2 linked regions of the Macaca mulatta genome follow. The protein of the gene in region 2 purifies or fractionates together with the protein of the main gene of each other region. This does not show direct contact. Links are inferred from orthologs where the notes say so. Each region holds a gene or a part of one and is shown on either strand. Other genes may lie near its edges. The genes, in order: RIT1 and LZTR1.

Region 1 (3,810 bases), on a different chromosome or scaffold from region 2:
GGATGGTCTCGATCTCCTGACCTCGTGATCCGCCCGTCTCGGCCTCCCAAAGTGTAGTCTATTTTTAAGATACTTTTTGGAACAGGGAATAGTTATAGATATCAAACACACAACCTTAGTTTTCCCCATACTTTTTATTTTAAGAAAGATAAAGAGGCGGGACTTGGTGGCTCACACCTGTAATTCCAGAACTTTGGGAGGCTGAGGTGGGAGGATTGCTTGAGCCCAGGAGCTTGAGACCAACCTGGGCAATATGGTGAGACCCTGTTTCTACAAAATTTTTAAAAATTTTGCTGGGGCTGGGTGCAGCAGCTCACGCCTGTAATCTCAACACCTTGGGAGGCTGAGGCAGGTGGATCACTTGAGGTCTGGGGTTCGAGACTAGCCTGGTCAACATGGCAAAACCCTGTCTCCACTAAAAAAAAAATTAGCTGGGCATGGTGTTGGGCACCTGTAATCCTAGTTACTCATGAGGCTGAGGCAGGAGAATCGCTTAAACCTGGGAGGCGGAGCTTGCAGTGAGCTGAGATTGCGCCACTGCACTCCAGCCTGGGCAACAGAACCAGACTCCGTCTCAAAAAAAAAAGGAAAAAACAATTAGTTGGATGTAGTGGTATACACCTGTGGTCCCAGCTACTCAGGAGGCTGAGGTAAGAGGATTGCTTGAGCCCAGGAGGTCAAGGCAAGGCTGCAGTGAGTTGTGTTTGCGCCACTGCACTCCAGCCTCAGTGACAGAGCAAGACCCTGTCTCAAGAAAAAAAAAGTTGGGTGTGGTCACACACGCTTGTAATCCCAGCACTTTGGGAGGCTGAGACAGGCAGGCAGATGACCTGAGGTCAGGAGTTCAAGACCAGTATGGCCAATATGGTGAAACCCCATCTCTACTAAAATAGAAAACTTAGTTGGGTGTGGTGGCAGGTGCCTGCAATCCCAGCTAATTGGGAGGCTGAGGCAGGAGAATCACTTGAACCCAGGAAGCAGAAGTTGCAGTGAGCCAACATCATGCCACTGCACTTCAGCCTGGGTGATAAGAGTGAAACTCTGTCTAAAAAACAAAACAAAACAAAACAAAAAAACACTGGGCACGGTGGCTCACATCTATAATCCCAGCACTTTGGGAGGCCAAGGTGGGTGGATCACGTAATGTCAGGATTTCAAGACTAGCCTGGCCAACATGTTGAAACCCCATCTCTACTAAAATACAAAAATTAGCTGGATGTGGTGGCAGGGTGCATGTAATCCTAGCTACTCAGGAGGCTGAAGCAGGAGAATCACTTGAACTCAGGAGTCAGAGAGGCTGCAGTGAGCCTAGATTGCGCCACTGCACTCCAGCCTGGGCAACAGAGTGAGACTCCATCTCAAAACAACAAAATTAAAATAAAAATTAAAAAAAAAAAAAAAGAAAGAAAGCTGGGCACAGTGGCTCATACCTGTAATCCCAGCACTTTGGGAGACCAAGGTGGGCAGATCATGAGGTCAAGAGTTTGAGACCAGCCTGACCAACATGGTGAAACCTCGTCTCTACTTAAAAATACAAAAATTGGCTGGGCGCGGTGGCTCAAGCCTGTAATCCCAGCACTTTGGGAGGCCGAGGCGGGTGGATCACGAGGTCAGGAGATCGAGACTATCCTGGCTAACATGGTGAAACCCCGTCTCTACTAAAAATACAAAAAACTAGCCGGGCGTGGTGGCGGGCGCCTGTAGTCTCAGCTACTGGGAGGCTGAGGCGGGAGAATGGCGTGAACCCGGGAGGCGGAGCTTGCAGTGAGCCGAGATCACGCCACTGCACTCCAGCCTGGGAGACACAGTGAGACTCCGTCTCAAAAAAAAAAAAAAAAATACAAAAATTAGCCAGGCATGGTGGCATGCACCTGTAATCCCAGCTACTAAGGAGGCTAAGGCAGAAGACTCGCTTGAACCCAGAAGGAGGAGGAGGTTGCAGTGAGCCGAGATTGCGCCACTGCACCACTCCAGCCTGGTCAACAGAGTGAGACTCCGTCTCAAAAAAAAAAAGAAAAAGAAACACAAAGGAAGGGAAAGAGATATACGCTTACACTAAAATACTGAAAACTATTAGGAGCCCATAATTCATACATCTAGTTAAGGATATGCCATAATTTCTACTTTTGGATGGTTAGACTGTTTCTGCTACCATAAATAGACTTGCAATGAACATGTTATATACAAATTGCTAAGACTGTTTTCCAATGGAGATTAACAGAGAAGCATTATGAATTTGACAACTATCAAACTACTTCCAGCCAGGTGTGGTGGCTCATACTTGTAATCCCAACACTTTGGGAGGCCAAGGCAGGAAGATCACTTGAGTCCAGGTGTTCAAGATCAGCCTGGGCAACACAGTGAGAGCCTGTCTCCACAAAAAGTAAAAACAATTAGCAGGGAGTAGTGGCACACACCTATGGTCCCAGCTACCCTCAAAGCTGAATTGGGAAGATCACTTGAGCGGGAAGATAGAGGCTGCAGTGAGCTGTAGCCTCAACCTCACTGCAACCTCCACCACCCCAGGTCAAGGGATCCTCCCACCGCAGCCTCCCAACCAGCTGGGACCACATGTGCATGCACCACTATGCCCAGCTATGTTTTTTAGTATTTTTTGTAGAGATGGGGTTTCGCCATGTTGCTCAGGCTGGTCTCAAACTCCTGACCTTAAGCAATCTGCCCACGTTGGCCCCACAAAGTGCTGGCGTGAGCCACCTCACCCAGCCTGATTTTCTATTTTAAGGCAAAAAAATCTGTAAGCCAAGTCAAGAATCTGTAAGCCAAGAAACAAAAATGACTGATTGTGTAAGATTATAGACACTATTTTCTTCTCTATCCTCACCTGTCTTAGCTGTTTGAGGTCTGACTTGTTTCCCACAAGAACCACAGGTGTATCATCAGTACGTCGAACTCGATAAATAAGCTGTTTAAACTCACGAACTTCATGGAAACTTCGACGATCCGTGATAGAGTAACAGATGATAAACCCTTCTCCCGCCCTCATATACTGGTCCCGCATGGCTGTAAACTCTGCCTAGAGGGAAACAAGGATCATTATGTATTGACGCATTCTAGCGCTACTACACACATAATTAGCTATTTCTTTCAGATTAAAGAAAATGTATGTCCATTACCTGCTATCCTGAGTCAGAGTGCATGAAAAATTAAGAGAGATAAACTAGTGATCTTCTCTGCGTAGGCCTTCCCCTCCCCTTTACTAGAGTAAAAAAGCCTTTACTCATAACATTCTGGGATTTAATACCTGTCCAGCTGTATCCAAAATGTCCAGATTGGCAGGCTCATCATCAATACGGATCCTGATCTTATAAGCATCTTCTACAGGAGGGAAGAAAGGTGTACTATAAAGTCATAAATGCAGGAAGAAATGCCTATTTAAAACTCATCTTACAGAGTAGTACATTGCATCCAAATTCGTTAAATGCCCACATTTGCTCAGGAAGCATGCTAAATCCACTGAGATACATAAACTGAATCTTCAACTGAAGTTTTTTCTTTTCCACATAGGTGATGATGTAGTTTATTCATAGCTGAAGATTTCGCCTACAATTCTAAGCTAAAAAAGGATTCTGAGAAGATGTCTTTCTCAGGCCAGCTGGACACAGTGGTGACTGCCTATAATCCCAGGTACTTGGGAGGCTGAGACAGGAGTATTATTTGAGCCCAGGAGTTCAAGACCAGCCTGGGCAACACCGCAAGAGCTCATTTTTTTTTTTCTTCTTGAGACAGGGTCTCACTGTCACCCAGGCTGGAGTGCAGTGGTGCGATCTCGGTTCACTGTAGCCTTGACTT
Region 2 (3,810 bases):
CAGCCAGAGGAGAGCAGGTCACTTCCCTAAGGTGAGTTGTGGCTTCATGGCAGCCACGACAAAAAAGGGGTCCTGGAATCCTCTTCCCAATAAGGGAGCACTGGTTCCCCAGCATCAGAGTGGATTCACATGGGGCCCTCACTAGGGCGAGAGGGCAGCCTGCCTTCCACAGGAGCCAAGACCACAGTGCAGGGGCAAGGCAGGGCAGAAGGGGCAGGAGCCCACCCCAGGCCTCCAGGATTCCCCTGGGAGGGGCCAGCCTGGATGCCTTCATAGCCCTTCTCCCTAGTGTGACTGGGTGACCCCAGGTGGGGGCAGTTGACAGCATGGATAGAGACAGGTAAGACCAACTGACCTACATCTGGGGATCTGCTAAGCCATGGGCTCCAGAGCCAGTCCTCGGCTGCAGGAGGGCCGAGGGGCTGAGGCCAGCAGTGTTGGCTGGGCCAGCAAGGTGTGTGTGGTAGGTAGCACTGCTGTGGCTTTAATGGAGGCTTGTCTGTGACAGAATACTCAGCAAGGGACATGCAGGATTGGCTGGCTTCGTCCCGGCTGAGCCCTGACATGCACACAGGTGGACTGGGATCCTTCAGCCCCTGTGAAAACCAGGCCTGGCCCAGCACGACTGACCTGGGAGCTGACCTCAGGGCCCTTACTCCAAAATTCACCTCAAGTCAGGTGAGACCCACACATCATGGGTCCACACTCACAAGTTCCGGGTGGGAAAAGGAGCCCCTTACATGGATCTCAGTGAGGGTGGGCGGGACAGGAGCAGCCCAGGCAGATTCCATGGTGCAGCGCAAGTCTGCTAAGCCTCCCGCATGTTGGAGGAGCCTTGGTGACAGGCCCCAGTGCCTGGGTCTACAACACACCCAGGCCATAGGAGCCAGGCCAAGCACCACTGGGTGGGAGGCCCAAGGTCTCTCCCCACTTCCAGGTGGTGAGCCCATTACTGAGCCGTGGCCTCACATCCACATCACATCAGGAGAGGGTGATGACAGGGGAGGGGGTCTGCTTCATCATCTGCTATCATCTGCTCTCTGTGGGACCTGTGTCTTCAGTGAATTGAGGAGATTGGGGCCCCACATCCCCTCAGCTCTCTTTGGAGGCTCTGGGCACCCCGACTCTCGGCCTGGCAGGTGCACCCACTCTGCCATAGGCAGACGCATAGCCAGTAGTCTTCTCAGTGGGCAGGGCAGGCAGGCACGGCAATTCTTCACAATGGGCAGGCGCCACAGGGCCTCAGATGTCGGCGCCCAGCTCTGCACACTGCTTGTCTGAGATATGGGAGGCCAGGGAGTCTATGATGTCCAGCAGCAGCTGTTGGCTCAGCGACCGCAGCGTGGGCAGCTTGGAGACCTGCAAGGCAAGCAGGCCGGAAGGAGATGGGACCAGATCCACATAAGGGCCATGGTGGGCAGTGGAGCCCTCTGGGGCCCACGCTGCTCGGGGCTCAGGCTAGTCCCAAGGATGAAGCAAGGTGCAGCCAGTGGTGGGCTGCTCTGCTCGCTCACCCCCCAGGACCCACCACTGCAGGGGACCACAGAGCCTGGGCACCCCTCCCTGCCTGGGCGTGCCCACTGCTGAGGGGAAGCAAGTCCTGAAGGGGAGGCCAGAGCCCTGACCTTGGTGAACTGGTGCACGATGATGTGCAGGCAGTGCCGCTTCATGTCCAGCGCCTGCGTTTTGTCGGCTGCCTCCAGGATCTGTAATGGCAGGGACCTTGAGGCGCTGCCCCTTTCACCCACTCAGTGGGAGCTGCAGCCGTGGGCACAGGGCTGGGGGGCTACCTGCAGTACGTTCTGCACCGTCACATTCATCTCCAGGTTCTGTTTGCAGTACGCCTGCAGCCGGTTGTTGTAGAAGCCGTAGTAGTAGGGGGCCGCAAACAAGTAGCTGGGGCCTGGTTAAGGAGCTGACCAAAGGAACCTGGTCCGCCCACACCCTCCCAGGGAAGGACAGGGAGGGGCGCAGGTGGAGCCCCAAGCCCACCAGGGGCCAGACTCCAATCCAGCCCACACGCCAGCATGCTCTCTAAATGGATTCTGAACTACTCAGTGGGTCAAAGGCCCCACTGAGGATCCAAATACCATGAATCCCCTCCCCAGAAAAATACTGTCTGTACATCTGCAGCGCAATTCCATGGCCTTGCAAGCCTAACAGGCATCGTGACCCTCCATGTTTGGACCCCTACTGAAGTGACATAAGAGGAGTAGTTCCATGTCTGTGCTCAACTGTCACACAAAACAATGACCCACCCCATCCTCTGGGCAGTTGTGAGGGTCAGGAACCCACTGGTTCCTCCTGGCTGCAAACCCCTCCCTGCCAGCTGCCAGCTGCTTTGGAGAGCACCTGGCCCAGCTCCAGGCACCAGCAAATCCTCTGGAGGGAGGCGCTGGGCCCAGATCGCCTAGCTGGGGCAGGAAAGCGGGCCTCAAAGCCACTCGAGGTGGGTGCCAGGACCCCTTGGTGGGGACCTGGGAGTTCCTTGGGGAGTGAGGATGCAGCGAGTCCTCAGGCGGCATGTTGACCTCGCCGTAGTAGATGTAGCGCAGCATGGACTCAAAGGCCTGCCTGCTGGGCACCATCTCCCCGATGGAGATGTTCACCTGCCCGTCCTCGGGCATGAAGGACCGGAACATGGCTTCAAAGTAGCTGTAGACAATGAGCGGCAGGCACCCGGCTGTCAGCAGAACGAAGACACCATCCAGGCCCACCCTTCCCTCCCGTCCAGCCCCCACCCACCTGGAGCGGGCTGCCAGGATAGCCTTGTGGGCTGGCCGTGGGTGCCCATCCAGCAACAGCGTGATGTCACAGAACTCTGCGCCCGCCCCCTCCAGGTATGCCTTCATGTCCTGGATCAGAGATGTGCCTGGGGGTGGGAGGGACCCTGAGCAGGTACAGCCTGGGATTCTGGCCTTGGGGCGCCATGGCACTATCTTCCTGCACATCTGCCCATGTTGCCGCTCTGAACAAAACTTCACCCAGGCAGAAGGCTTCACTCTGGCCCTGAGGCACCATCAGCCACATTCTGTCCTCCCTCAGCGCCCTGGCCAACTCGAGCACTATGCCGAACACACAGCCCACCACCCAGCGTCTCATCTTCCACCCAGCCTGCTGTGCCCCCTTCGCTGCCCTCATGATCAAGCCCCTCCAGGCCCACTGCATGGCCTCTGGTGCCGGCAGATGTCACCAAGAGCCAGCAACTGGGGTCAGCACGACCCCCAAGGAGAGCTGGGGGAATGAAGGGGCCTGTGACATTATAAGCAAAGAGAAGTCCAGTGACTGATCACTGTGACCCTGGGCCATCAGACCTGACATCCCAGCCCAAAAGAGGTACCCATGTCCACCCCCAGAAATTGGCTCAGGAAATCCCAGCTCACCAGGACACAGCCCACTGTGGCAAGCCCCATGGGTTGGGGGCTTCTGCCTCCATCTGTTTCTGCCCTGTACCCAGGAGAGCACTCTGGGGTCCCATGGCACCCACCCCCACCCCGAGGGCCTGGCAGGTGCTCTCCATGGCTCCCAAGTCTCCTGCCACAGATGAACACCATCCCTCCCAGCCCCGAGGGAAGGGGAACGGGGCTCCCTACCAATGTCCACTGGCTGGTCCGAGGGAGTGCGAGGGGGTGGCTGCTGCTTCCGCCGCACAATCTCCACGATCAGCGGCGAGGAGAGGCGCTCGAACTCCTTCATCATGATCACCTGGTTGAAGTGGGACTCCTTCACCACGAAGTTCAGGCAGTGCTCCTGGGGCAGACAGGCACAGGCGGGCAGGCAGGCAGGGTCAAGCCAGGGTCCCAGGCTGGG

What was found.
Region 1: the proteins of LZTR1 (region 2) and RIT1 purify together in Homo sapiens (affinity purification with mass spectrometry; 3 studies listed by BioGRID and IntAct, counting the BioPlex papers as one, with this or other methods). This does not show direct contact. The link is inferred for Macaca mulatta from reciprocal best matches to the Homo sapiens genes LZTR1 and RIT1.

What each region holds. Positions count from the first base shown.
Region 1 is NC_133406.1:111,056,132-111,059,941, reverse strand, and holds part of RIT1 (GTP-binding protein Rit1), read right to left. Parts: intron 3,337-3,810; coding exon 3,263-3,336; intron 3,035-3,262; coding exon 2,843-3,034; intron 1-2,842.
Region 2 is NC_133415.1:31,844,531-31,848,340, reverse strand, and holds part of LZTR1 (leucine-zipper-like transcriptional regulator 1), read right to left. Parts: intron 3,751-3,810; coding exon 3,594-3,750; intron 2,873-3,593; coding exon 2,746-2,872; intron 2,656-2,745; coding exon 2,506-2,655; intron 1,897-2,505; coding exon 1,791-1,896; intron 1,707-1,790; coding exon 1,582-1,706; intron 1,459-1,581; coding exon 1,329-1,458; coding exon of another isoform or gene 1,243-1,328; 3' UTR 1-1,242. UniProt on the Homo sapiens protein: Substrate-specific adapter of a BCR (BTB-CUL3-RBX1) E3 ubiquitin-protein ligase complex that mediates ubiquitination of Ras (K-Ras/KRAS, N-Ras/NRAS and H-Ras/HRAS).